Linked DNA regions of Rhinolophus ferrumequinum. The protein of the gene in region 2 interacts with the protein of the main gene of each other region in a pairwise test. Links are inferred from orthologs where the notes say so. Each region holds a gene or a part of one and is shown on either strand. Other genes may lie near its edges.

Evidence for each region.
Region 1: the proteins of EXOSC8 (region 2) and OTUD4 interact in binary tests that used the Homo sapiens proteins (3 or more experiments, as listed by UniProt). The two-hybrid records come from large-scale screens. The link is inferred for Rhinolophus ferrumequinum from reciprocal best matches to the Homo sapiens genes EXOSC8 and OTUD4.
Region 3: the proteins of EXOSC8 (region 2) and TXNDC17 interact in binary tests that used the Homo sapiens proteins (3 or more experiments, as listed by UniProt). The two-hybrid records come from large-scale screens. The link is inferred for Rhinolophus ferrumequinum from reciprocal best matches to the Homo sapiens genes EXOSC8 and TXNDC17.
Region 4: the proteins of EXOSC8 (region 2) and MORN4 interact in binary tests that used the Homo sapiens proteins (3 or more experiments, as listed by UniProt). The two-hybrid records come from large-scale screens. The link is inferred for Rhinolophus ferrumequinum from reciprocal best matches to the Homo sapiens genes EXOSC8 and MORN4.

What each region holds. Positions count from the first base shown.
Region 1 is NC_046301.1:18,616,573-18,624,197, reverse strand, and holds the start of OTUD4 (OTU domain-containing protein 4), read left to right. Parts: upstream 1-4,619; 5' UTR 4,620-5,210; coding exon 5,211-5,369; intron 5,370-7,625.
Region 2 is NC_046287.1:92,681,149-92,689,000, reverse strand, and holds the start of EXOSC8 (exosome complex component RRP43), read left to right. Parts: upstream 1-4,841; 5' UTR 4,842-4,859; coding exon 4,860-4,876; intron 4,877-5,958; coding exon 5,959-5,995; intron 5,996-6,222; coding exon 6,223-6,286; intron 6,287-6,843; coding exon 6,844-6,917; intron 6,918-7,852. Other genes in the region: ALG5 (dolichyl-phosphate beta-glucosyltransferase), read right to left, coding at 1-8, 3,643-3,768. UniProt on the Homo sapiens protein: Non-catalytic component of the RNA exosome complex which has 3'->5' exoribonuclease activity and participates in a multitude of cellular RNA processing and degradation events.
Region 3 is NC_046304.1:13,915,711-13,923,590, forward strand, and holds TXNDC17 (thioredoxin domain-containing protein 17), read left to right. Parts: upstream 1-4,865; 5' UTR 4,866-4,957; coding exon 4,958-5,102; intron 5,103-5,659; coding exon 5,660-5,741; intron 5,742-6,161; coding exon 6,162-6,237; intron 6,238-6,869; coding exon 6,870-6,938; 3' UTR 6,939-7,629; downstream 7,630-7,880. UniProt on the Homo sapiens protein: Disulfide reductase. May participate in various redox reactions through the reversible oxidation of its active center dithiol to a disulfide and catalyze dithiol-disulfide exchange reactions. Modulates TNF-alpha signaling and NF-kappa-B activation.
Region 4 is NC_046299.1:26,202,688-26,209,514, forward strand, and holds the start of MORN4 (MORN repeat-containing protein 4), read left to right. Parts: upstream 1-3,823; 5' UTR 3,824-3,961; intron 3,962-4,028; exon of another isoform or gene 4,029-4,168; intron 4,169-5,383; 5' UTR 5,384-5,434; intron 5,435-6,827. UniProt on the Homo sapiens protein: Plays a role in promoting axonal degeneration following neuronal injury by toxic insult or trauma.

The DNA.
Region 1 (7,625 bases), on a different chromosome or scaffold from region 2:
AACACCATGGTTGCTGGTTCGATCCCCCCATGGGCCAATGTGAGCTGTGCCCTCCACAACTAGATTGAAACAACTAGTTGACTTGGAGCTGATGGGTCCTGGAAAAACACACTTAAAATAAATAGAAAGTTAAAAAAAATAAAAATCCTACTTATGGGCTAGTTTACCAGAGAACTAATAAAAACCACTAAAGGTATTAAATTAGTGATTATTTTCATGAATTATTGCAATACATTTTATGTCTCCTTAGTAAAGAGAAACAATGGAGTATTATCTCTATTACTTATTAATTGCTATATAACGAATTATTCCAAAATTTAAGTGCTTAATACAACAAACATTTATCATCTCACACAGTTTCTGAGGTCAAGAATCTCAGAATTAAGATCTGAGTTTAGCTGGATGGTTCTGGCTCCAGGTTTCTCATGAGGTTTCAGTCAAGATTTCAGCGAGGGCTACAGTCATCTGAAAGCTTAACTGGGTTGGAAGATTTGCTTCAAAGCTGTCACATGGCTGCTGGCAGGAGACTCCAGTTCCCTACCAAGAGAACCTCTCTGTAAGTCTGCTTTTAGGACCCATAACAGCCATCATCCACCAAAGTGAGTCACCCATGAGGGAGGGAACGTACGAGAACAACCAGAATGCCGAAAGTGTCTTTTATAATCTAATCACAGACGTGAGGTACCATTACTTTTGCTCTACTGTACTCTATTGATCATCCAGACCAACCTTGGTACAAGTAGGGGCAATTATACAAGAGTGTGAGTACTAGGAGACAGGGATCCCTGGGGGCCATCTTAGAGGCTGGCTACCAGAATACCAAACCTTTTTTTTTTAATTTTTAAAAAAATATTATTTATTTATTTATTTATTAGCTTCATGTGTACAAAACACTGTAATAGTTAGACATTTATCATTTATACCCCTCACAAAGTGATAATCCCTCTCCCCCAATCTACTATCCCTCTGACATCGCATACAGCCATTACATTTCCACTGTCTCTATTCCTTATGCTGTACTCCACTTCTTGTGACTATATATACATATATATATATACATATATATAATTATAGTAGACATTCATTATTATTCAGCTTCAGCTTCAGGTGTACAGTGCAGTGATCAGGCATCTACAGCATCCCTGAAGTGGTCTCCCTAAGACAAGTGTCCATCGGATACCCTATAAAATCTTTTCAACATTATTGATTATATTCCCCAAACTGCCTTTCATATCCCTGTGGCAATCTTGTGGTTACAGATCGTGCTTTCCTCACCTTCCCCCTTATCCCCCCCATCTAGCAACCCTCAGTTTTTCCTCTATGTCTCTGAGACTGTTTCTGATTAGTTCGTTCATTTATTCTTTAGATTTCACATATAAGTGAGATCATATGGTATTTGTCTTTCTCTGAATTATTTTAGTGAGCATAATGTTCTCTAGGTCCATCCATATCGTTGTAAATAGTAAGATTTCATTCTTCTTTATGGCCAAGTGTTACTCCATTGTATAAATGTACCATAGTTTCTTAATCCAGCCGTCTACCGATGGGAATTTCGGTTGTTTCAGAATACCCAACCTTTTATTGGAAAAAAACTCCAAAAAAGTCTATCATTTTTTAAAACAAAAAATCCCATCCAGTACTGTTTTTAGCTCCAAAGTTTGTCAAGCAGACTTGAGGTATTGATTGTGTATAAGAAAAGAAAGGTGACACATTTGTGTAAGATGAACTTGATTAATTTCATTAGGTTCTCAGTAGCATTGTATCTTTCAGGTTTTATTTGATTAGAACGTCTGCTTAAAGAGTTCTTTGCTTTTGCTCGTCATAAATGACTTCCTCGGAGTGAAGATTTTCATTTTAGATGTGGCTTCTTGAAAAGTTTCATAAGTTAATGTTAACAAGTAAAGATCCTTTGAAAGTGAGTTTCTGTAAGTTTTGGTCCAGTTTAACGTCATAGGATCCTTTATCGTTGCCTGAATAGTGAGCTATATTTGGGGATTTGGCCAAGGGTCTGTCTTGGACTAGGTATCAAAATACCTAAAGGATTTCCTTAAACAGGCCCAGGGTCAGATACAACAGGTGCTTTACTTCTAATTTTGGAACTAGAAGCAGATAGTTTAGAGTGAAGCTGTTCTGTTCTCATTCTGTAGGAGTGAGGACAATAAGTAATTTTGTCAAGACATCGAGTGTAGAAAAGACCAGAAATGTGTTATTCCTTCTGATAACAAACCACATTTTTGCAAGATAACATAGAATTTTGATGAATTCTGATAAAGGCCTCTGTTTTCTTAGTATTTAAAAATTCATTTAAAAAATTTGAAAGTGGACTTTAGTGTCAGGTTCAATACTTGAATAGTTAAATGACAGTCTTATTTTGATTATACTATTGTCAGTGAATTAAATTTTTGTAATGGAAAATAAACATATTGTAGAATTAATGATGTATTTGGTTTCCTTTTTTCTTTGTTTTTTAACTTTTGTTTAAGTGTGTTTTTCCAGGACCCATCAGCTCCAAGTCAAGTAGTTGTTTCAATCTAGTTGTGGAGGGCACAGCTCACAGTGGCCCATGTGGGGATCGAACTGGCAACCTTGTTGTTAAGAGCACCGCACTCTAACCAACTGAGCTAAACCGCCACCTCAGGTTTTCTTTTTTCAAAGTATTTTAAAAGAATTTTGGGAATTTAGAAGATGGTGATATTACTTTGTTAAAAATACATGAAAGCATATTTAAATAAGATTAAAATATGGATAAAATAGAAAGTATGCTTGAAACACACTGAGTCACTCCAAATGAAATTATTGTGCATAAAAGCAAAACTTTTGACTTGAATGAGTTTTTAAAAAATGAAAGCAATATAGTCACAAACGTTTCAATTACAAAAAAAAAGGTTGATAAATTTTCAAATGTGAAATCCTTGGAAATATATTTCTTATATATCCTCAAGATAGTCAATGCAATCTTACCACGATACATACAGTATACTTTCCATTAATACATACTGAATATGAGATTAGCTTCAGAAATTCTGATTGAATTCTGTTTATTAAATGTTATTAAATGTTAGGAAAGGCATGGTTTTCTTTTGGCATATCAGAAAGTCTGTTGCTTATAAAATGAATACTACAGAATCTATTCATTTTAGGAATTCAATATTTAAGCTCTACAGTTTAGGTGTTAACTTTCTTTGAATTTTTCTGCGGATTGAAAGGCAAACTATGCTTAAAAAAAAGAAAAAGAAAAAGGAAAAAAAGACAATCCATGTTGTAAGTAGTGACAAATCTCAGTAATTCTTTTTGAGTGGAATGAGAAGCATATGTGGTGTAAATATTTTTAGAGAAAAGGTTTCACTTGAAACTAGATTTTTCTAAAAGTGATTCCATAGTGTTTATTTCTCTACTACATGTAAAAAATTTAATATTGGGACAAGAAAATTTATTTAGGTGACACTAACTTTTGTAGTCTCTAAAAACAGCACAACTGGAGATAGAATCTTTAAACATTAAGACATCAAATTGAGATGCTCCAAGGAAAGTGAATACACAAGTCATTAATTGCTTGCACTGAAAACAAATTTCTAGAGTCTTCAGTAGTTTGCATTAGACTCACCATCTGGCCTACCTTGTCCCCATTCCAGAGTTTGACTACATGTCAAACCTACAGTAACCCCCCCCTTTTCCCTTCTTCTGACCCACCCCTAACCCCCACCATGGCCTTGAGACTGGAGTACATTTTATGATTAACTACGTATTTAAATAATTAGGATACCAGCTGCTGTTGTATTTTAACAAAATAAAATTCTGATGTCACAAAAACGTGCTGGAGAAATGCTGGGTTCTAAACATAACTTGACATTCAACTTCAGAGGGTGGGAAGTTGAGCTGGAAACCTCAAGCACTGGAACCCATGGCAAGTCCAGTATGTTAGTTATCAAGCAATTAAAAGATGATTTTTTTTTAAGAAAAAAAATTCTAATTTGCCGACCAGTGACATCTTTTTGTGCTGGGGTGCACAGCTACAGTGGAAGGGTGAACAAAAGTGTCTGTGGCAAAGGCATCTTGCCATAGTGCGTGAGCTATACTTTGAATTTCTAACAGGAATCAGCAGTTCATGGGTGATTTATGGACAGTCTGTGTCGTCCTACACTGTGCCAGTTCCACCAGCCTTCACCAATTAACTGTATTTTCTGCTTAAGCCGTTAAAGCCACCTCCATGGAAACGCTTCGAGAAGAGGGGGTGGGGGAGGGAGCAGACAGGTGCGCCCTCTGTTTGGGAATACACAAAGGGCCCACCCAGCCGCCGCCGTGTCCCTGGCAACTCCGCGCACTTCTCAGGGCGCGCACTCACGGCGCTAGCTCTTTCTGCGGCATCGCCGTGCAGTGGGCGGTCCGGCCTTCCGCGAGGCGCGCGGAGATTACTGCGCGTCAGCTCGCTGAGACCCTCGTCCAGCTCGCGGACGCTGTGCCCGGGAAGCGCGTAGCGGGGTCCGGGGGCGCCCGTGCTGTAGGGACTTGTAGTTCGCGTGCCTCCAGGGCGCCTCCTCCACGGGCAGGCCGGCTGCGCGTCCCCGCCCGTCGCAAGCCGACTTCCTGCTTCCGACAAAACTACATTTCCCGGCATCCTCCCCGCTGTCGGGTCGAAAGCGAAAACAAATTCTGGGCTGCGAGGGTGCTGTCCTCCGCTGAGCGCCCCCACCCGCTCCCCGCCCCTCCGGCGCCCTTCTGCGAGGTGGGGAGACGAAAGGCCGCGTCTTTCTCTTTTGGCTTTCTTGGCTTCCAGTGTAGGGAGCGCGGGGGACGCAGGCGTCGTTTCACCTGAGCCGGCCCCGCGTGTGGGGGGCGGGGGCTTTCTCGCCTCACCCCAGTCGGGACGAGGAAACTTGTAGGGAAGACGACCCCCGGCTCAGGTGCTGAGCGGGGCAGCAAGGCCGCCGGGAAGTGAGTTCTCACTCTCGGGTTTTCTTTAATTTCCAATCGGTTCCCTTGGGCGCGCGGTCCCTCGGGAGGAGGCCGCGTGCGCACAGCCATGCATTAGGCAGTGCTCCCCCATGCGCGCGGAGAGCGCGGACCGCTGCCTCAGGCTGCCGTCACCGCCTGCCGCCCGCGGAGCCCGAGCCAGAGCCGCCGCTCGTTCTAGGCCGAGGCGTTGAGGAGCCGGCGCCGCGGCCATGTGGGGTTAGCCCGCGCCGCGCCTGGCCTGCAGCAAGACCGGCAACATGGAGGCAGCCGTCGGCTCCCTCGACGGCGGGGACCAGGGCGTCTCAGAGCTCCGCGAGGACGCGACGCCCATGGACGCTTATCTGCGGAAACTGGGCTTGTATCGGAAACTGGTCGCCAAGGACGGGTCGTGCCTGTTCCGGGCAGTGGCAGAGCAGGTAAGGGGGCTCGGGGGTGGGGTGGGGGCGTTGGGGCCGGGTGGGAAAGCGGCTGCCGGCAGCTGTCCGGGCCGCCCACGTCCGGGGCTGCGCGTGGCCCCGCTGTCGTCACAGCCGCCCATTGTAACGCCGGAATGGGACGCTAGCCTGTCTGGAAGCTGTAAATCGAAACTTAAAAACCCGTAAATTAACTGGGTGTCGTCCCTCCGGGTTAAGAGGTAATGAGTTGAGGACAATCTATGAGGCCCGCTGAGAGCGTGCACATTTGATTGATTGCTGGGGACTTGGCGAAATGGTATTTTTCCATTCTGTTCCGCATTCACCGTGTCTTCGTTTTGTAAGCAGAGCGTTCACACCAGTTAACCAAATGTTTACTAGAGGAGGTGGTGCACCAGACTTTACTCGTAGAACATTAGTGTTTCTGCTCCTGGACTTTGGAATGTGGGGTAGTCAAGCCCGCAGATGTCCACTGAATCAAAAGGGGGAAAATGTGCAATTTGGGAAAACCAACCTTTTAAAAATATAGAATGTTTTAAAATAATAGTTTTTGAGTAGATCCCACACTTTATTATGTTCTGCAAGGCAATAAAGATACGCTGAAAATCGTTTACTTTTTTAAAAATCTGTTTTGGTGTTGGTAGTAGGAAAGGTATAATTGGGGATGCCTTAGGGCCTTCTTGGCCGAGTTTTTTCTCTGTTAATGGTCAAAATAACTTTGTAACACAATTGCCTAGGAAGGTATTTCTGATTTTTCTTGTAAGAACTTATTCTGTTAGATAACACTGTAGTTGGTAGTTATGCAGTTACCAAAACCCATCCTATATTGAAAAATAGCTGTTGAAATAGTTGAATAAAAGTTTCAGGTTACCTCCTTGGTGTGTATTTCATACCTTTCAGTTTGCTTTCCTTTCTTAGGTTTAAGATTCCTCCCCTCCCCTCCATGGAGTTTTTATGTTTCTGTTTTCTCACCTTTTTTGAATGCTAAATAGCTTTCAAAATTTCTATTTGTGAGTAAGTGTTTTACTTAACATCTGTAGACCAGTCTATTTTCATTTTTTTCAACGTCGAAAGGCCAGCCATTTATTTACTAAAGGTCCTCATTTTCACATCAGTATCATGAAATTGTTTTTTTTAAAAAACAAATTGATTTAACTGGTACAAACCTTTGCATTATATTGCAGGCATTGTCACTCAGACATTTTTCCTAGAGATCCCCAAATCAAGCTTTGTCTTTCTCAGTTCATTAGATTTCTCTAATTTTTAGAAATTCCGGATGTTTCGGTCTTGCCACCCACCCAAGTCATTACTATTAGTAGGTAAACAAGTCTGTCCCATTTGTGAGTTTGGGGATCTCCATGTCCCATTTGTGAGTTTGGGGATCTCCATCGTCCTACTTCCTCTTCCTCAGCCTCCCTGAACTCCTCAGCACCTCCAGAAGCAGAGGGAAGAGGTGGAAGTGAATTCAGCCTCTATTTATATGTATTAGCACTAGCGAGAGTTTGGTAAGGGAGGAGGTAGAAACAAAGAGAAATAAGGGACGTATGGCACTTATTTGGAATTGGATTATCCAGATCCTAGTTTATCTTGAAGCAGAAAAGAGTGTCTGATTTCCAGTATTCCATGCCTTAGATAATTGGTGAGCTTATTGTAGTGTGGGATCTCTATTTTTAGGTAGAAAGGGGCAAGAACTAGTTATACTGAAAACTCATTGGTAACATCAGATAAATCTCATTACAATAAGATGCAATAAAATGAGTTAGGCATAAGGGACTATCTCCTCCACTTATGTGACTGATTTTTAGTATACTGAGCTTAGAAAACTTTAATAACATGACTTTTGGGGAAATTTCAGTAGACATGAACTAACCCTGTAGACTTCATGGCCTATAACAAATTGGGGGTTGTGTGTGTGTGGTGGGTGGGTGAAGTAGCAACAATGACCTCAGGCTGCACTTTAAAAATATGTACAGAGGGTTTAATTTTTTGCCAATATTTTCTCCAAAAATATCAAAATAATTGAACATTACTAAGAAGGAGTCACAGTAAATAATCTGAATGGTGTCTGGGGGGAGTGGGGCAGAGACTTGAATTAGGAGTAGTGGTACCTCTCCAAATTACCTGATTTAGATAGGACCTTCCCTTTTTACACTACTGGACTTGGGCCTGCAGGAGGCCTGACCTGAATCAGCTTTGTGGCTGTGGAGCTAAAAATAGGGCACTCTTTGAGGACTTGCTAAAGCAGTGTATCTGAGCCTT
Region 2 (7,852 bases):
AAGGAAATCTAAAAGCAGATATGTTAAAAGGAAATTACGTTAGGGTAACCCTTTTTACATTTGTTATGTTGGAATGCCACATCATTTACGTGATTTTTTTCCCCTTTGATGAAACATTTATTCTCAGTTTTTAGTGCATTAACAATGGTCTAGAGGTGACCCAAAAATTCAAACCAGTCTCAAGAACAATGATTGTCCTTTTTTCCATTAGTAAGGTACTAATGCCTTACAGGGCTCTTTGTCTCTTCCCACCTGTCATTCCCCTGGCCTCGATCATCCCAGATCTAATAGGGAACAAATTACAGTACAATCCACTCATAGATGCGCTGAACCCCCAATCCCTGGTACACACACAGTGAGGTCCCATCCCTACTTAGAGCCTGTATGTAACAGAGGACAAGTTCATATAGCAGATGAATGCGTGGGATGAGGTCAGACCTCCCATCCAGGCCCAGATCAACCCCAACCCCCACAGTGAGGAGCAGTAATGCTTAAGAATATATTCTTGGTACTTATCCTATATTTGAACTCAGAATACAGTATTTTCTGGAGTAAAGTATCAAACTTGTAGTAGACTGTAGGCACCATGCACTACTAATATTACACAGCTCCCTTCCATATGCACCTGGGAGCTAGCTTTGGAAATAACTATTCTTTGGAACATTGTTTCTATTGGCATACCTTCGGCTTTCAAAACAATCAATCTACAAATTTTTGGAATGATACTCTTTTGTAATTTGACAATCATTTATAATGTTCTATTGGGAAAACACTAAAATTGCATATGCTTCTGACTGGTGTGAGCATGGAGGCAACATCCAGATTGGTGAGTCAAACGTCCTGCTCTGCACCCCTGGTGTCCAGATTGTGGTTTCTAAATTGCATCTCCCACTAAAAGCAACCAGTGCTCCTCAAAGGAACAGCTAATCCAGGTCTGGGGCAGGAAACGGACAATGGTGGAACAGCACCTCAATGACGATGAAGAACGATGCCAAATGGACAAAGTAGCCAACCTGAGGGGCTCTTACTGGCTTATGGCGGGAGATTTGAGCATCAAATTACAGCAATGCATGGAAACACATGAAAAGTATTTTAAGCCATGGATTCATAATGATACCAAAAATAAAGAAAATTAATCGGTCACCTTTGTAAGATGCCAGGGAACTATCTCATTATTTTAAAATCCTGCCTTTTATCTTACCTTTTATATATGAAAGGTATTTCAGGTTAATTGGATAATGGAAGATTAAATTCTTTTTCATTATAGATTTCTAAGTAATACATGAAGAAGGAATGATATGATTAGAATATTGCACTTTGCAACTCCCAGTGAAATAAGGATTTAGGTAGTGATCGTCAGTGACTGCTAAACCCATTAGGTTAATGACAGATTTTATAACTGGAGAGTCAGGCTAACAACTCCTGAACCCACGGATCCATCTTAACACCAGAGAAATCATACATTATATGCCTCCTGATGTGATGGAAGAGGAAGTATTCAGCATCACTCACATTTTTTTTTGATTAAAAACCTCAAACATGCATTTCATCAAGTCTCTAGATGTAACTACTACTTTACGGGAAATTCAGGAGACAGACTAAGATGTTAAAGGTCAAAGAGGGTACAATCAGTAAAACCCAGATTGTCAGAAATTCTACAGGACAAATGACAACTTATTAAAGGAAAAAAAGGGACAAGAAACTGTTATAATTTAAGACTTGAGACAAATCAGGCGGCTGGTTTGCTCAGTGGTTAGAGCACAGTGCTCATAACACCAAGGTTGCTGGTTCCATTTCCACATGGGCCAGTGAGCTGCGCCCTCCAGAACTAAACTGAAAACAACGACTTGACCTGGAGCTGAGCTGCGCCCTCCACAACTAGATTGAAAATGCCTTGACTTGGAGCTGATGGGTCCTGGAAAGACACACTGGTCCCCAATAGTCCCCAGTAAAAAAAGAGAGAAAAAAAACTTGAGACTTATCAATGAAGTGCTAAGTGTGTGAATGCTGACTGGAACAAACTGACTATACTAAGACATGCAGGAGGCATTGGAAATGATCGGTATTTAAAAGCATAGAAGAATGTTTAACTTAAAAAACATCTGTGATAACCCTATTGACATTATACTTTAAAGAAGAGGTCCTATCTTTAGAGATAAATGTTGAGGCTTTACAGATAAAATACTGTCTTGGATTTGCTTCAAAATAATCCAGAAAGAAAGGCGGGGTGGGGAGGAAGTACTATTGGAGGGTGGATATATATATATATACATATATATATATATATATATGTGTGTATATAACAATATTAATGGGTTTTTGGTAATGATTTCTCACTCTGGCATTTAAAAAAAAACAAGTTCCATGAGCTGTGTGACATTTGTATACATGAGCTTATCCCTCCAACCTCAGTTTCCTTTCCAGACAAATGAAGCTAATGATAACATTTGCCAGTATTATTTTAAAGACCAAATTAGATAATCCTGTTAAACTCTGAATACCCAAGATATTTTAAGTACTCAATAAATGGTAGCCCTTACAATCATTTTAAGCCAGTGAGATCAAATACTTCAGTACAAACTCATAATGTACACCTGTAAATCTGTACAACAGATTCAGCATAAGGTTGATACCATCGAGGATTTTTGTCATACTCTGCCGCGCCAAAAACCTGACTTGCTCAAAAACCTGAAAAACAACTAAAATCTCCATATACCACCAAGGGAAAGAGAGGACTTCTCTCTCAGCCAGACACAAATCACCAAAGAAATCAGGATACAGTGCTTTTTCTCTATCTAAACTGTGTCTAAGCTGTGAGTTGACAAACTTTCTGGCAAGATGGCAGAGTGGCCTTCCTGGCTGCTGATGCCAAGGATGCTGAAACCTCTCCATTTACTTACTAGAGCACAGGTTCACTCCAAATTATATGGGAGAAAGTTCACTTGGCCGTTTTCTACTACTTATGGACCAACAAGTGTTTACAGTGATTCTGTGTTTCCAGAATAATGGCAAAGAAAAATCGAGTTTGAAATCTATTTTACTGCCTCATTGAGAGGCAGCAAATTCAAGGTGTTTAATTCTGGGACATAACGACCCTCAGACGTATGGTAACATCAGGCCTTGCCTATCTCGGTCTTCCTGTGTCCGTGGTGGGTCTCCGTAATCCATTGATTTATTCCAATCTGTCATAGATGGCTCCCGTCTGGGCTATCACCACTTCTTATTTGCTTCACGACATCAGGAAAAGGGAGTCTAGAGAGCACTCACCTTCTGGGGGGCTCAAGACCTCCTCGGCGGGGCCATAACTGCAGAGGCTGCAGACCCGGAGGAAGTCTTGGAGAGGTCGGGATGGGCAGAGGGTCCGGGGACCAGGGGACGCGTGAAGGCTGTGTGAGCACGTCCCAACATTAATAAACGTACAATGCTCTGGGTACGTAGGGAGATAAAGCTCCAAAATAAAAATTAACAACGGAAGGAAAGGGATGTGAAATGGCAGGACAGGAATTCTGGGGTCAAGACAGGGGAAGCATGGTGAAAAGGGACACGTCGAAGAACCGGCAGTGAGGAGGAGAGCACGCCTGGGGCCTTGTCTCCAGAACAGCAGTGAGCCCAGACCCGCGTCGGTCCCCAACCCCTTCTCACCAGTATCAGGGCTGCGGCCGCCAGCGCCACGCCGAGCACCGCGCCGAGCACCACGAGCTGCAGCGGGAGCGAAGCCATCCTCCGTGCGCCGGCTGCACCGCCGCCCTCCCCAGCACCTACACACATGCGGAAGCCGTCCCGCAGCCCCGCCTCCTGCAGGCGGAGAGGCTGCGCCCGCCGCCCACAGCGCCCTCGCGCGGCGAGAACACATTGGGTCTTGTCTGCCAGCCAGGCGCTCTGCTCCAGAGTTGCCAGAATTAGCACTACGTGAAAACAGAACGTCCACTTAATTTGAATTTCAGATAAGCAACTAAGTTTTTTTTGTAACAGCCTTATTGAAATATAAATCACATACCATTCAACCCACACATTTAAAAGTTTTTGGTATGTTACCTAACTTTTTAAAACTGAAATTTTTTTTTGCTATTTTTCCTATTTAAAATGCACAATCCAGTGCCATTAATTACATTCACAATTTTCTGCAACCATCATCACTATTTCTAAAACTTTCCCTGCTCCAGCCCCTGGTAACAACGACTAACATACACTATTTGGGGCTTACTCATAGTAAAAAATTACTCTTTGCTTATCTGACATTCAAATTTAATTGGATGTCCTTTATTTTATCTGGCAACCCCACCACGCAACCTACAATAAAAGCAGCTCCTGTGGAGCCCGCCCAAGGTCCTGAAAAGTGTAACCTGGTGCGGAGAATGAGCGCGAAGAAAATATATGTAATCTCCAGTGCTGAAGCAGGGAGCTCTTTACCTGGGAGAAGGAAAACCCAGGCATAACCTAAGAGGGGGCAGGAAAAGGACGCAGAAACACTGGATTAAGAACATTGGGATAATGCTTCACGCTCAATACTGGATTATTTGCTATAAGGTCGATTTTCTCTTAAACTCTTGAACTGTTTGTAAACAGAGAAGCTATCACTTCTATAACAGCAGACTCGTCAAAACGCGTAGAATGCAAAGAAACCTACAGGTGCGTCTGGCTAGTGACTGTTGAAGCGAAGGGTCGGGTCGCACCCTAGCGATGCCCTGGCCTTCTGCGTCTCCTGCAGCCGTAGAAGAGCGCTGGAGTCCGTGCGGAAAGCGGTGGCCCAGACGGCGCGCGGCACGTAGACAACAGTGTCCTTCCCCCAACCTCCGCGCAGGCGCAGGCGCAGGCGCAGGCGCAGTGTCCTACCCCCGCGCAGGCGCGCGGGCGGGAAGATGGCGGCTGGTTTCAAGTGAGTGTTGGCGGCGGCTGTGCGCGAGTTTGTATCCTGACGGATGGCGGCTTCCTTTAACCCTTAGCTGGGATTTTCTCACCTGGAGGCCACCCCACCATCTTCCCACTTTCTCTCGCGGAAGCAGGCGACGGGCGGGAGGACCTGGAGGTGGTTGTAGTGAAAGGAAAGGGGGCCTCTCCCCGGCACTAAGACGGGAAGATGGAAAAGAAGACTATACGTTGAGTTCAGTACCCGCTGCGGAGCGCGTGTGCCTTGTGTAGTGGACATTTAGCCCCAGGAGACAGCTGTATTTTAAAAAGTGTTGCATCAGAACCACGTGCCATTCTATTCTCCCTCCATAATTTATTTCTAAAAGGATTGTGCCTTGCACGGACGCTTTTAGCTAAGCTTTTTTGTGTGGCACTCTGGTGAAGCCTATAGATTTTCGTTCTCGGAGCCAAATTTTTAAAGGGATAAGTAGGATTCCGAAGAAAACCAAGTATATTGAAACACTTATCTATTTCTATAAATTCCCGAGTTCACGATACGGTGATGTACACATACTTGTTTTAAAATTAAACAAGATCTAGTGGGGAGTCTAGTAACTAGTGGAATTTCAAAGTAACTGAACCTACCTTCAATAACTATTAAGTAAAAACGAAAACATTTAATGTCTGTGGTTGTTAAGAGTCACAGGTATTGCTAATATTACCCAGTCAGAATTTAAGAATATGCTAAATTTCAGTTATAGGATGGTGAAAAATAAAGATGTAACTTTTTTTTTTGTGCCGAGAATCCCTGCTTCCGGGGGAGAGTGCCATTAACACCTGGATTAATCCTTTTAAAGAAGTCCAAGGGCTTTGGACTCCAGTCCTGAAATTGTTTAAGGCAGAGTTAAGGACAGTTGAGTGATTGCTACAGCAAGGGTATCTACTTCTTATAATTAGTTATGTGGCAACATAAGTGTCAGAATTTATGAAGGAAACAGTCACACATTGTGGAGATTTATACTGCATGACTACGTTTTTAAGATCTTTTACAGTTTCTGGATTTATATTAAGATTCATTAACTTACCTCGGATATATTGCTAACATTTCAGAACTGTGGAACCTCTGGAGTATTTCAGGAGATTTTTGGTGAGTAAAGGTGATTATGTACATGTTATAACTTTTGATAATAACATTTTTAAAGACATTTTTGACATACAAATATTGAATTGTTACATTGTACACCTGAAACTGTTATATGTCAATTATACCTAAAAAAAATTTCAAGTAATTTCAATTAACAAGGTTTAATGTGTTTTCCCTGGTTGTATGTAAAATATACATGTAGATGTAATCTTTCATATATATTTATTTAGAAAGAGAACTGCCGTCCTGATGGAAGAGAACTTGGTGAATTCAGAACCACAACTGTCAACATAGGTGAGTATATTTTGAATTCTAAAATAGAATGTTGAAGTTGCTTCAGTTTTGAAACTGGAATGTTTCTTGTTTTTTTAATACTAGTATTTTTATTTGTAGTTTGTTTTTTTTTAAGTCCTCTCAATTGATATGTTCTCCATTTTAAAGTAACTACAGAGCGTTCCCCCCTCCCCGCCCCTTCCTTCCAGATCTCTAAGACATGGTTTTATGTCTTAAACTTATTAAACTTTCTGTTACAAACATGGAGTTTTCCAGTTTTACCTGTGTGGCATTCCCAAGTTTTAGCCTCTAAGCCACTTAAACAGTATTTCAGCCAAATTCTACCATGTTTAAGAGATTCCAGTGATTTTTGTGTCAAGAGATTTTTACCTGTACAACAGTCCTGTGACTGAATGAAAAGGATTAACTCAAATTCAAAGACAGGTATATAATTCTTAAAACAGTAATCATACCACTTTAAAGAGTTGAGCTAGGAATAAATTTTCATAAACTAAGATATGTAACAAGATAAATGAAAACACTGTGGACTTTTTCATTTTGCTTGCTTATCTTTTCAGGTTCAATTAGTACTGCAGATGGTTCTGCTTTAGTGAAGCTGGGAAATACTACAGTGATTTGCGGAATTAAAGCGGTAGGTTTAATATGTCTTAATGAGATTTGAGTTGCCAAATTAGCTTCGTATACTTATTAGATTGTAATATACACTTTTAATTCTGTCGATTAGGCAAGTCAGATGTCAGTTTTTTAGTATTTGTTTTCATTTCCCAAGAGCTTTCATCTCTTATTGAATACGACCCGTTTAATGATTCAGTTGTAATTTAAGAACATCAAATGTACTGAAATCAAATAATGTATCAAATCCTCACCACCTTTAATTTTTTAAGAATTTGGTTGTGGGGGGGTATCACTTTGTGAGGGCTGTAAATACCTATTACATTGTTTTGTACATCTGAAACTAGTTTTTTTAAAAAATTTGATTATCATTTGAGAAATTAGTTTTTTGGTGACATCCTTTTATCCAGTGATGGCATTTAATCTGTGCAAATGTGTAAAAAATTGAGATCACTCAAAAGAAAAGCTTGACAGAATAGCTACCAGGTACTACCTGCTACGTTCCAGGCACCTTATTAGTACTGCAGATGGTTCTGCTTTAGTGAAGCTGGGAAATACTACAGTGATTTGCGGAATTAAAGCGGTAGGTTTAATATGTCTTAATGAGATTTGAGTTGCCAAATTAGCTTCGTATACTTATTAGATTGTAATATACACTTTTAATTCTGTCGATTGGGTGCTTTACAGAATATTAGATGCTTTACAGAATTATCCTGTTTAATTCTCAGAACGATCATCTCGGGTATAATTTTACTTAGTCTTGTGAACCTCATTCCATGAGGTTCAGGAATGAAGTCTCACAAATAGAACATTGACTCCAAAGCCTGTGCTTCTTGACTATCACTCTGAGAGTTACTTCACCGAAGTTCAGATTCTTCCTTGGTAAAGCTGGGATATCTAACAAGATTTGAGCACTTACTTACTGCCACATTTTGTTAGGGACTTAATGGGCAT
Region 3 (7,880 bases), on a different chromosome or scaffold from region 2:
TGGAATTAAGCTGATTTTTTTCCCCATAAACTAACTAGTGTTAAATGTCCTGGGGAACTTGTTCTCTGAAAGAATCCCATAGTAAATCAATTGGGAAATTCAGGTTTTAATTTAAGCTGTTGAATAAGCCCAACGTTTGTAGGTTGGATTTGCTTAAAGACAGATACATCTGAAGGAATATAAAGGCAGTTGTAGAAGATTCCTTATTTCTAAGGCTGTGGAGACATGATCAAAAACGAAGATGGGAGGAGGCACATGAGCGAGGCCACCGACTGGCTTGGTTATCAGCACGGCTCAGGGGCTGGGGCCACAGAAGGAAGGAGCCTGGGGGGGCGTCTGCAACGTTTACGTGGTCAACACTTCCCCCAGGATGCCAAAGGCCCAATAATCCGTTCTCCACGGGAAAAAAACTAGGTGATCCCCACAGCTCCAGGATACCTTAAGTGACACTGCACACACACACATACACACACACACACACACACACGCAGTCCAGGGACACCCACCCCCAAACTGTTCCCCTGTACAAAGTCCTGGGACACGTCTCTCTTTGCAACCTGTCCCTTTCCAATTGCTCCAGGAATCCACCCAACTTGTTACACCGCGTACTGTGGGACCTCTCCACAAAGGATCTCTCGCTCCCATCCTGAGACACCTCTACAGCTTGTACCTTCATCCACAACTCAGGACAAATCTCCCCCCAAACTGTTCCCTCCCAGAGTCCCAGGATCCCTCCAATTTGTTCCCTATACATACTACTGGAATGCCCCCCTCATTCTGTCCCCCTCCACACAATTTTCTCCCAAGTTGTTCCCCCTCACTCGGATGCCAGACACCCCTCCCGTCTGTCTCCTGCTGCTCTGCTGCAGGTGACCCCTGAAATGCTCAAGGCCTGTTTCCTCCCTTGAAACGGGAGGCACTTCCACGGCTCCATTCGCCCCCGCAGCCGTTCCTGTCCCTGAGAATCCCGGCACATTCTGATAGTCTGTTTCTTCCCCCACAGACCTTGGGCAGCTCCATAACCTGTCCCCACGCCCACAGGTGTAAGACAGCCCTGGGGCCAGGTTCCTCCTTGCTAGCCCCAGGACACTTCTCCCTCCTGTCTCCTGCTCTGAAGCCCCTGGGCCCTCTGTGGACGGTCTCCTCACCACTGTGAGGCCCGAGACAGCAGCATTCGCCTCTTCTCCAGTAGACCCAGTCACCCACACGGCAGCAGGCACACGCCCCGCCATGGGAACTCCCACCGCTGCAAGCACCCCCAAAGACAGAGGTACCCTCACAGCCTCAGGGACTACTCCATCGGGTCTCCTTCTCCACATGCCTGACACACCTTCAGAGCCAGTCTCCCTGTCCACGGGTCCTGGAGCCCTGGAGGCAGGAGGCCCCTCAGCTGCCGGTCTCCTTCCCCATACACCTGGGACATCCCCAGAGTTAGGATCACCCACCATCGGCACAGGAACCCCAGCAGCTGTAGGTGCTCCCACAGCCATGGCAATTCTAGCAGCCACAGGCATCTCAGCAGTTTGTCCTCTGTCCGATAAGCCCAAGAGACTCCCAGAGAGTGTCTCGTCCCCCTCAGGCCCAGGCACCCCCGTGGCTGTGCACAGCCCCACAGCCATGGGTACCCCCGCCGTCTGTTTCCCTCCCGACAAGCCCGAGATGCCCCCAGGACCCATCTTTTCCCTTTTGGGCCCAGGCATCCTGGCAGTGGCGGGCATCACCCTTCTTGTGGGACCGTTGGCATCTGCAAATACTTGCACTGTCTCTGTCTCTCCCCATAAGCCTGAGACACCTCCAGAACCAGTCTCCTCCCACACAGGCCTGGGAGCCACAGGCACCCCTGCAGTCACAGGTACTCCGGGAGCCTGTCTCCTTCCTGGCAAGTGTGAGAAAACCCCAGAGCCAGTCTCCACTCCCAGAGGACCAGGTACCCTCGAAGTCGTGGACACCTCAGCAGCCACAGGAACCCTGGCACTCTGTCTCCTTCTCCACGATCGTGTGACACCCCCAGAGCCAGTCTCCTCCCCAACAAGCCCGGGTACCTCAGGAGCCACGGAAACCCTGTCAGTCATGGGAACCTCAATACCCTGTCTCCTTCCCCATGATCCTGGAAAAGCCGCAGAATCACCATCCTCTCTCACAGGCCACAGCTCTTCGGTGGACACAGGTACCCCCGAAGCCACTGGTATTCTGGCAGTCTGAACTCTTTCCCACAGGTTCAAGACATCACTAGAGCTGCTTTCCGGACACATGGGGCCAGACACCCACACAGCAGCAGGCACCCTCCCAGACCCAGGCACATCCATAGCTGCAGGTAGCCCGGTGGCTGGAGCACATCTGTGCTTGGGCATGCCAGATGCCTCGGACACCCCCACTGTCTCCGGCAAGCCCATAGCTTGTCTCCTCCTGCACAAACAGGAAATATCCTCATAGCCAGTCTCTTGATCCACAGACCCACAGACCCCTAAAGCTGTGGGCACCACAGCCTCTTGCTCCCCCATAGCCTGCCTCCTTTCCCACAGACTCAGGACATTCCCACAGCATGTCTCCTCCCCAACAACCCCTGGCACTGCATCAGCCAAAGGTACCCCCATAGCCTGCTGCCTGTCCCACAAGCCTGGGATGCCACCATACCGCCCATGTTCGCCCATGGCTCCTAGTACCACCCCAGCCTGGGATAGCCCTACAGGCTGTTCTGCGCCCCACACACCCGGGACATTCGCACAGCCTGTCTCCTTCCCCAAAGCCCTAGGTACTCCCATAGCCTGTCCTACACCCCACAGGCCTGGAGCAACCTCAGGACCTGCCTTCTGCTCATCAGGACTAGATACCTCTGCAGTCTGTGCAGCTTCCCATGACCCTCGGTCACCTCCAGAGCCTGTCTCTACCCACACAGCCTGTCCCCTTTCACTGAATCCTGGGTCACCGCCACGTCTAGTTTCTTCTTCAGAACAAGGCACCCCTACAGGCTGCCCAGTGCCCCACAGGCCAGGGATACCCCTAGGGCCTACATCCTCCAGAGCTTGTCTCCTCCGCCACAAGCCTGGAGTTTCCTCCTCCACAACTCTGGACACCCCCATAGCCTGTGCCCTGCCCCATACGCCTAGGGTATCCCCACACACTGCCTCTTGTGCCAGAGCCCCAGGCACCTGCACTGACAGACCCCTCTCCCACAGACCTGGTGCACCCCCATAGCCTCTCCCTCCCTCCACAGCTCTGGGTACCTCTACAGCCTCAGGCCACACCATGGCCCCAGGAACTCCCATAGTTGGTGCTTTTGGCCATGGGCCTGGGGCAGCGCCATAACCTATCTCCTCCACAGCTCCAGGCACCCCCTCCGCTAGTCCTCTCCCCAGCAGGTGTGGCGCAATCCCAGACCTTGTCTCTACAGTCCCAAGCACCCCCACAGGAGGCACCCTCCCAGCCTGTCCCTGCCCACACGAGCTGGAGGGCCTCTCACAATTCGGCCCTACATCAGTAGCTGCAGATATTCCTGAGGCCTGGGGGACTGTCCTAGCCTGTCCTTTCACCCACGGTCCTGTGAGGCCACCACGGCTGGTCTCTATCCATGAAGCCCGGCCAGGTATACCCCTTTCAACTGGCCCCTCTCCTGCAGGCACAGGATGGAGCTCGACTCTGCTTCCTTCCCCACATCCTGACGCTGCCCTCATGGCCTGCACCTTCAACCACAGCTCCAGAATACTCTCGTGCCCCATAGATCCTGGACGACCTTTTCTCTCACAGCCCCGAGGACTCCTACAAAATGCCTCCTCCTCCTCCTCCCCAATGCCAGTCGCCCACACAGACCCGGCAGGCCCCACCACCTGGGGCTCCCCCACGTCCCCGTTCACCAACACAGCCCCAGGGTCCCTTGCAGCCTCAATTGAGCCTGCAGGGCCAGGTGTCTCCGAAGCCTCGTTCGCCCCTTCGGCCTCAACTGTCTCGGCAGCTCGTCTTCTCTGCCGACCGTCCTGCAGCCTTTCTGCACTCACACAGCGCGTCTCCCACACCGAGGACCTCACCCGGCGACTAGATCCACGGCCTCGGGACGTCCCTACACCCCACCTCTTCCCCCCAGGCCGTCGGACTCCGCGGCCCGACCTGCTGGGCCCCACCCCGCGGCCCGGCATCTCTGCCACCCGCTCGCCCCTGCGCAGCCTCGGCCAGGCCCCACGGCCAGCCGCCCTGCTCATAGCTCGAGGACAATTCCCGTCTTCCCCAACGCAGCCCCAGGGCACTTTGTCTTAACACCTTGTTCCCAAGGCTGCTCCACACACGCACTCACACACTCAGCTCCAACCTCGTAGCCTTATTCCCTCGCAGCCCACCCCCGCCCAGCCCCGCACGCCCGTCCCCCAGTCCCGGATCCCCCAAAGCCTAGGCAGAATAGGTAATTGGGGGCGACGAGCGGCAGGATCTGCCCCGGGTCAGGGTCTCCTCTCCCCCAGGTCCATGATTCCTAACGCAGCTTCCCAGAATCCCCCCAGCTCCGGCCCGAGCCCACCTGGCCTAAGGCAGGGCGCGGCTACGGGGAAGTGGGCGGGGGGGGGGTCCCAATTAGGCCTCGCTTCCGGCCGCTCGCCTAGTCGCCATAGCAACCGGCGCAGGGCGGCTTGGGAGCCGTTAAGGATCCTAAACCACCTAAGGGTCCAGCGGCTGCATGGCGGGAGGTTTTGCAGCCACTGTAAACGGGGCTGGGGCCCAGAACAGATTGGGGCAGAAGCCTGGGTTTCGCAATGGAGCCAGCACCGTAAGATCGGAGAAGTGAGAGCAGAAAGACGGTACGGACGAGGCATGGCCTTCAGAGGCTCCCGTAGCACCTCCTAGCTTTCTGGGATCCTTTAGGCACCGCCCTCTTAGGCCACCCGGAAACAGCTTCGCCCCGCCCCACGTGGGGCCCCGCCTCGCGGCGGTGCGACCCGAAGGCTCCGCGGGCTGTCTGCCGCTCGCTCTCCCGATGGCCCGCTACCAGGAGGTGAGTGTGTCCGGTTTCGAGGACTTCAGCCGGGCTGTGGAGCTGCACAAAGGCAAGACCATTTTCGCCTACTTTACCGGTTCTAAGGACGCCGAAGGGAAAAGCTGGTGCCCCGACTGCGTGCAGGGTGAGGCCGGGATTCGGGGGCTGCCGCCCAGAGGAAATGACGGGAAGGCCGAGGCGATGGCGGAGAGCGGGGTTGGGAAGAGGTAGAGGGAGTCTTGCCCCCGGAGATCTGCAGGGCGATCAGAGCTGTCATCCTGCCTCCTTCTCCTGCCTTGTTCCCGTCTCTCCTGCTGTGAAGTCCTTCCCCGCCCCAAGTGCTCTTCCTACCATTCGACCCATATAATCTTAGAATCCAGTCCTTTAAAACTTTTCACGTCCCCAGTATGATTAATGTCTTACAGTAGACGTGACTTGGTCTCCTTTGGATGTCAGCAAATATCTATGCCTTCCATTGTTATGGGCGCTGTGGCGTCGCGACAAATCAGGACTGGGACTGAGTCCTTTCCCCTTAAAGTGGCTCTCAAATCAGAGAATACCTGACTTCTGTTAATCTCCTCTGTTAACTGTAGGTTAAAGTCTGAGTTCTTGGCAACACTGAGGGGAGGGTAGAGGAGCCCTGTGTGTCTGTGCCTGATTGTACAGTTGATGTGTGATTATTTTATATCTACTTTTTGGAAGCTGAACCAGTCGTCCGAGAGGGGCTGAAGCATGTTCGTGAAGGGTGTGTGTTCATCTACTGCCAAGTAGGAGAAAAACCTTAGTAAGTAGCAGTGTGTACTGTATCTCAGACGTGAACTAGACTTGCAAACTTAGACGGGAAGGACCTTGGGACTCAGGTTCTACCTTCTAAGGTAGTCAGATAAGTCCAGCAATGATAAGACATTAAATACAAATAAAAATTTCCAATATTCAGCCATTTGCATTAGGGAAGGCTAATTCAATGAATTTGGCTGGTGTTAGTTCAGAACTTAATTGTCTTTACATTTATTTTATATTTTGATCACACTTTAAATGAAAGTTTTTATTTGGGGGAATAGATAAGTCAGTCCTCGGGTTTTTTTTAAATGTTTACAACAAAAACAATAGCTAAAAGACTAAATTTAGGAATATGTAAAATATTAAACAAAACGTAAGAAACCAAGTAAATGTTTTTCATGATCACTTTTTCTTTTCAAAATAGCTGGAAAGATCCAAATAATGACTTCAGAAAAAATTTAAAAGTAACTGCAGTGCCTACACTACTTAAATATGGAACGGTGAGTATCTTTCTTTAATGTGTTGGGGCTACAATTCACCCTGTCAAAACTTTTAACTTGTTCTGGATTCAAATTTGAAAAGGTCTTGATATTCCATCGCAAACATCACATCACATTCCTGTTCAGAGTGCATCTGTTCATCCCGTGGCCAATCCCAATAAACTATTAATAATGCAAATATCTAAATATTACATCTTTTTCATGCTTTTTAAAAGCTATTCTTAATTTAAAATTGTATAAGCACTGTTCAAGAAAGTTGGTTTACAGATAATTTCTTAAAACACTGGCATCAGTGGTGGTTTTCCATTTAATCCATAATTCTGGTTGAAAAGAAAGGGCACCTCTTCTAGTTTAGTCATGGCACTGGGATTCTAAATTAAAGAGATGAGGGGAAGGGTGTTGGCATTAGGCTTGCTGTTTCCTGTTTTAGTCTCTATATTTAGAGCCAAGTGATTTATCTTAAAGCAAAAATCTTAACTATTTCCTAAAACTTGTTGCAACTGGTTGATAATTCATGAATGGCGTAATTTCTCTGTTCCAAGGTTTGTGTCATTCAAAGCAGAACAACTCTATCCTCTCCTAATAACATTTTTGTAGTTGTGGGTTACAGTTTGACTGTTCTTCTCTTACAGCCTCAAAAACTGGTAGAATCTGAGTGTCTTCAGGCCAACCTTGTGGAGATGTTGTTCTCTGAAGATTAAGATTTGAAATGGCAATTGTCTTGATTTCCTGATTTGCTCTAGTCTAAAAGAAACTGCATATTTGCTTTGAATTCATGTTAGCAATAAATAAATAATTACGATGTAAAACAATTAGTATGTCTAAACAATAGAGTGCTATATTAAAATGCTCATGAACCTTCTAAGCTAGGTAAAATAAATCTTCAGGAGTGGCAGTATTAGCGCAAAGGAATGTATCACTGGAGGTAATAGAAATTAGACAGCTTCCCAATCTCTAAAGGAGTTAGGAACTTTTACCTCAAATTCCATGAATTTACAAAGAACCGTTATTTCTAAAACATCTTCGGCTTTAGAATTTAGAATTTAACCTAACCACTGAAGGAAAGCACATCACATCTAATCCAGCCTCTGCTTCATGCAGGCAGTTTTGTTTTACAACTCTGAATGTGCTTCCCTATTTGGGATGAGGTGGGTGGCAGAGGCCAGAGACTATATAACCTAGTGGTGGGAACGACTCTAGCCCGTGAGTCAGTCACTGATTACCATTTACTAGCTGTGTAGCCACAGGCAAGTTACTTCACTTTTCTAAACCTCAGTTTCCTCCTATAAGAACAAGGATTATTCTGAGAATAAAATGAGAATGCAACTAAACACTTAACGCAGTGCCTGGCTTGTGGAACCTGCCAAACAAAATGTGAGCTTTCCCAAATAAGCACAAGTATTTGAGGCTCCTCATCGTTGTTCTCGTCTAAGGTCAAGAGTCCAATTAGTAGTTAACCACCAATCGTCCTGCCATCAGTAGGTCAGCGACATACCAATGATTCTTCCATAAAGCTCTCTTGCAATGCAAATAGTGATATAGGTATGTTCTCCTCTCCTGCAGAATTTAAGAAACTTGATGCAGGTCTTGTGCTCTCATTTAGAGGTCATTGACTCCATTTGGTGACCCGTCCCTTGCCCCAT
Region 4 (6,827 bases), on a different chromosome or scaffold from region 2:
CCCTGCTCTACCTAAATAAAAAGGTCTGTTGTTGTTTTTTTAAAATCCCAGCCCTCATGCAGCTTACACAGTGCCTGGCCCAAAGCTCAATGTTTGTTAATTGAGGAAATACATGGTCCTATCAGACAAAAATTCCATGAGGTAAGAGTCCATGACTATTTTATTTATCACTGTAAATCCTCCGTGTCTAGGCACAGTAGATGCTCAGTACATGGTTATCAGTGAAAAAGAGAAGGATGATATAGTCCCTGCCCTCAAGCTGAAGCCACACAGCTCTCTGACGCAGTAGGAGAAAAAGAGCCAACAATAAGTGCTGAAAACTCCATAATAGGAGTTCAGCAATTTGGAGGTAGGCTGGAGAGTCAGTAAAGGCCTTAAGTGGGGCATGTGCTATGATCTAACTGTTAAAGGAAGAATGTAATTAAATCACTGGGGGAAAAAGGGGAGAAAAGAGGGACTCACAGATATTTGAGTTTGAACCCTGGCTTCACATTTATTAGTTATGAGTTATTTAACTCTCTAAGCCGCAGCTTCCTCATCTATAAAATGGGAATAATCATCTCCTCTTCAATTGATTAAATAAGAAGCAAGATAAATATGTAAAGAACTTATAGCACTTCGTACCTAAAAAGCACTCAACAAATGATAGATTTTTATCACTGCTGAGGTTATTGTTGATGCTTTTGGTTTTGTGCTTAAAGTAATCAGCATGGATTTTCACAATTGGTGACCAGCCACATAGTAAACAATATTTCATAATCATTCTGGAGAACAGAGTGAAGAAATAAAATGGTGTCACTATAGTCAAGCCGCTAAATTACTAAAATCAAGTTGGTTGAGGCATGAGAACATTAGTCTATTCTTGTTTGAACTAGCCTGGGAACTTAAATTTTGAACTTTCTAGTCCTGTATCAATGCCTGGATATACATCAGTTCATGGACATACACCAAACCTCCAGATAACGCCTGAAAGACTCACATATCTAGACCACCTGACATCTATTATCCAGACCATGGATGTGACAAGACCTCTTGGCACCCATCTTCCAGATCACATGGCATCCATCATCCAGATCTCGTGATAGCTGACTGATAACCACCCTGGGCCAATCCTAGGGCTAAGAATACAGAACTGATTATTCTTAAGAATGCACTTTTTACTATAAGAACTCTTAACTTTCCTTTTTTTCTTCAGAATACTTCTGGGTTTTTGCCTAGTTGTGTTTTGGGTTTGTAAACCCTAAGACCCTTAAATAAATCATTATCATTTATTTCTAGCCAAAGCCTCCAGACTCTTTTTTAGTTTGTTCAACAATTCTTTCTTGAATCAAATTATTGGCAGAGCTAACTAGAAGTACTGAATTGTTTAGTTATATTATGGCAATGTCTTAAACATTTTCTTGCCAAATAAACCATTCTAGCAAATGGCCATACAGATGGTTCAATTACCCCCTTTCAGATACAAGACATGTAGTTCCCTTTCCTACCCAAACGCCAAATAATTAAGTAATATTTGCCTTTTGTGTCCTAGGGGCCACAGCCACAGAGATGATCTCCTGTATTAATTATCTTATTTAGCCCCTAAGCTGCAAATTATGGTCAAGGAAAGCTCCAAGATTTAGAGTTCTCCCTTGAATTCTGAGTTTTCTCTATGGAAAACCCTTATAATATGTTTCAGCATCTACTTCTCAGAACTTGACTTTCCTTTTACCGAAAAGAGTGTCAATACATTCCCTATTACCTATGAAGACTTAGCACTTACCAAATGATAAGCATGTGCCAGATATTATTTTAAGTGCATTACATGGAGTAAGTTATATAACTAGCATTACAGCCCCTGTGATGTTGGAAACTGAATAAAATAACTTGCTTATAGTCATGCAGCTGGGAAGTGGCAGAGCTGGATCCAAATTCAAGCAGACTAGTTCCACACTATATTGTTTCTTATTAAATACCTCTACAAAATATGTCTCATATTTATCCCCCTTCTTTCCATCTTCACTGATGCCACATTCCAGGATGTCTTAGTTATGTTATTACAATAGCTTCTGAATTTGTTTTCTGCTTCCAATTTCTTTATTATTATTATTATTAGTTGCAGGTGTACAAAACAATGTAATAGTTAAGACATTTATACCCCTCACAAAGTGATAACACCGCACCCCCTCCAATTTCTTTCTGATCATCTCTGTGTATCACTGCCAGAATAATTTTATTAAAACACTGGTTTCACTGTGTCACTGCTCTGGTCAAGAAACTACATTTTTATTGTGGCAAAATATACATAATATTTATCATTTTACCCATTCGTAAGTGTACAATTCAGTAACATTAAATCCATTCATAATGCTGTGTAACCATTACTACTGTCTCTACCCCAAACTTTCTCATCAAGACAATAAAAACTCTGTATTCATTAAACAATAACTCTATCTTCCTATAGCACTTGGTAACCTCTATTCTACTGGTTGGTGCAAAAGTAATTGTGGTTTAAAAGGTTAAAAATAATTGCAAAAACTGCAATTACTTTTGCACCAACCTAATACTTTCTGTGAATTTGCCTATTCAAGAAACTACATTTTGCAAACCATACCCTCTCTCTAATTTTTCAGGTTTCTCTATAACTTGACCACAACTTTATTTCTTCATATTTTCTAATACAGACTCTCCAATCTGATTTCTTAACATTCCATTCTCTCAACTGCTGTAATTATATCAATAGTCAATACCACACAATTTTATCATGTTTAACCATTGGGTGTTAGAGCTGGATTGAATTTTATAGGTCTTCTAGTCCAATCTTATTTTACAGGCTTGTGAGTTTAATAACTCGCTTGAAGCTACACCCAGTTGGTGGCAGGGATTTGAACACAGAATCCAAGTCTTTTAAAACTGTTTAGTGAGCCCTTGCAATTTCTCAGACATAGTACTGAGCATTTGACATTGTATTCTCAAACAAGTCCTAGGCTGCCTTTATCATCATCGTTATAATTTTCCATCGTACAAATGAAGAAAAATCTCACTTCAGAGAAACAATTTGCTTACTCTCTTCATGCGTTTGCCTTCTTTTAATAGTTAAATATAGTCTAGGATTTTTCCACGTGCATGCATCTTTTCTTCTCCACACTTGGGCAGTAAGTCACATGAGGACAGTGATCATGTCTTTTCTAGACTGGCAGAACCTAGCAGCACGCTGCATTCCCATTGTTCAGTAAATAAACATATAGATAAACGGATTGGCGTGCGCAGTATTTTGGAGGATTTGCTCCAATCTTGGCACGGTATTTTAAAGACAAAGGACCTGGGTAACGACATCGACAACACAAATCCCTACAAAGAATGCAAACGTGTCCTGATATCACAGTGCTGGCATAGAGTCGACACACATTGAACTACAGCTGCCCTGTCCAACGCGCTGCAATTTACAAAGCTGCACCTCAAAAGCCGTGTTTAGGTTCTGTCCTTTAACTCCGCGGCCGGGCCATTTACAACCATGGAGATCCGCGCAGGATCGAAGCCGCTTGAGTTGGTGGTCACTGTTGTGTCTGACGCTGGTTTGGTTTGGTTCGGTTTGGTTTTCACATTTTGGCTAGGCTGTTGCGGGGTAGGCGAGACCCGAGTTCTCTCATCAGGATTGCCAAGGAGGAACCCGGAGTTCAGCCCCACCCCTCTTTCGGATATTTGAGAGGGGTTCTCGAGACATTTCGCCCCGCACAAAGATGGCGCCGAATCCAGGCTGAGCCAATGGAGAATGGCGTTGCTCCCGGTTGCCTAGGTAACAGCCAATGGGCAGCGGGAATTGTGCCCAGTGCGGCTACCCGGGATGGCGGCGTCAAGTGGGGCAGGCACTGGTGGAGGTGGCGGAGAGGCAGGTGGCAGGGGCGAACCCCGCGGAGCGGAGGTCCGGGCTGCTGGAGCCCCGGGTCGGGGCGTGACCGTCATCCAGAAAGGCGGAGCCCAGGTTGGCTGGCAGTGCGGGTTGGAAGGGGCTGGGACAGTGTGATCGGTGAGGAAGGGACCGAGGAACCCAGCCCTAGATGACATGGGCTGGAGAGCGCGGCTCCGTGCTCGACGCGCTGACCGGAGGGCGGCTGCCCCGAAGTCCCCAAACCGGGCCTCGCGTCTCCACCGCTGGGTGCCGAAGCCCAGGAGCGCCCGTGGCACGGGGGTTAGCGAGCGGAGTGGTTGGGGGCTGTGTCTGGAGCAGATGGCAGACCTTGTGCGAGCAGAAGATCCGGCCCGGGAGGGAAAGCAGACCCGGGTAGAGGGCAAGAGCAATGCTGGAAGGCACGAATGGGTGGTTGAAGGAAAGGGGAAGTGGACCAGAAAGTGTTGCCTTGTTGCCATCTAGGGCTTTGTTTGCTCTGGGCCCGCCTCTCTCACACTCCCGTGGGGAGATGTCCCCACACATCAAGTCTTGGGGAATGGGATGCCTCAGTTAGTTGATGGTAGCATCCCAGCATGGTGGCATCACCGAAATGCTTAGGTATCAGCAGCAGTAACTCGGCTATATTACTGTAGTATTTTCCTTAACCATGGCATTTTCCTTAACCATGAACTAGAATGGTATCCTGGCAGTCCCCATTACTCCCGAGTGTTTGTTTGTTTGTTTGTTTTTTACTTTCTTTCTGGTGTCAGGATTTTCTTCTCAGTTTCTTCAATCTAACTGTCCCACAGTCTTCATAAATAAGAACTTTAGTAGTGATACATTTAGTTTACTTTTCTAATAGAAGGGAGACTTACAGTAAAAGAGACGTACAGACTTATAAAAACAGTTAATTCAAGCTCATGTAAAACACTTTAAAAAGAACGTTTGACTAGACTGAGAAACAACGACTTGAACGGGAGTGGGGCGGAGGGGGCGGAAGAAAGGGGGGGGAGAAAAAGAACGTTTGGCTTTTTCTTCTGGGTTTCTTCCAAACCTAATCTTTGTTCATCAAAACCTTCATTTTCTTGTCTTTAGGAGTCTGAAAGCCTAAAAACTGCTTTCTTTATAACTGAAGGAACTTTGGCAAGACTGTTATACTTTGGGAGGGGTGGTTTGGGAGGGGGTGGCCAGTGTTGAAGGTATATGTGGGTAAAGTGGCTGCCCCCAAACAATATTCTCAAACTGAAAATTTGTTCCCCTTTATGTGAATTTTTTTTTTTTTAATCCTGAACTGGGGCACAGGTTACTATGAAAGCATACGTATTCTTTTAACAAGTTTGATTTCTAAAATTTAAAAAAAGACGAACGGAATGGAAACAAAAGTTACCATTCCTGCCTCCAACTTCTATCTGGAAATGTCTGGGTCAGGAGAAAAGAAAACTAGCAGGGATATAGTCTGTTGTGCAGACTAATAGTGTATTAGTTTACACGGACAAAATACTAATTTCCTTTCAGATAGATGTTTGGATTGATCCTTTGCAACCCATCCGGCAAGAGAGCAGAAGGGTGGGTATTTGTTTAGAAGAAGCATGAACTATCTTGACTCTGTATAGCTGAAGCCTAAACTCATAGGCCCTCCATTTTATTTAAAAAGATTTTTTGAATAACTGATACACGTACTGATTTGCTAAAGTATTGGGTTTTCAATCTTCATCAGCACTAACTATACTTTTTAAGCTAGATTTGTCTCAATGACCATGGTGACTGGTGAAATTTCTTTCTGGGTCAGTGGCTATGCAGCTGACCATTAATTAGCATGGCTGATTACAGAAGTCATAAATGAAAAATCCTGACACTATTCCAGGCAGTGACAATATCCATTATTTGGACATAGGTAGAAGTTTCTAGTCAAGTGTGTTCAACCATGGCTTGAAACTCATGGAGTCAACATGTGTTCCCTTTAATTAGCACTTCTGATTATATTCTTGGGAATGGACATCACTTTGACAGGCAACTGTTGAAGGGAGTTTGCTCTACCTCCCTAGATCAAAAAGGAATGGAAATTTGTAGTACAGTATGGACTTTTGAAAACAAATAGGAGAGGATGGTGGCAGGGTTAGGTTGAGAGATGATATTCCAGTTCCTATTGCTGTATGACAAATTACCCCAAACTTAGCTGCTTAAAACAACCATATGTTGCTCACAGATACCTCAGATGTGATCAGGCTTAATGGCTTGCAGAGGGACTGGAGTCATCTGAAGTCTCCTTTACTCACACCTGATGCCTGGGCTAAGATGATTCAAAGATGAGACCTGCCAACCGGCTCACCAATACCTGTGGCTGTCGGTGTGGCTCAGCTTCCTCATAGCTTGGTAGCCTCAGGGTAGTCAGACTTCTTATGTGGTGGCTCAGGTCTCCCAGCACAAGTGTACCAGTGAGCAAGATGGAAGTTGCGTGACCTTTAATGATCTAATTTCAGAATACACCATCACTTCCATCATGTTCTATTGGTCAAAACAATCATAAGATCATAAGCCTACACAGATTCAAAGGAAAGGAGTTAGAGTCCACTTTTGGTGGGGCAATGGCAGGGTCTAATTGTAGAAGAATGTGTAAGACAGGAGGTATGTTTGCAAACATCTTTAGAAAATACAGTCTGTCACATTTGATTATAAGAACATAATCTTTCAGGTTTCATTGGCTTCCTTGAAATAGTTAGGGTTATTAAAGAACAAAAATTCAACCGAGTAAATTTAAATATCTCATTGGCTTTATGAATGATTCCTGAATTGGGCAGCATCCCATCTAGTAAAAATAGAAAGGTATTTCCGAGGAGTTGTACAAACTGAAAGGTTTTTATAGGCAGAAAGAGTGTGGGGCAAAAGAATGGATTATTTCAGGCAAGTTTACCTTCCCTTAGGGGAAGGTCAGGGGTCTGTCTTATCAAGCAGATTACAT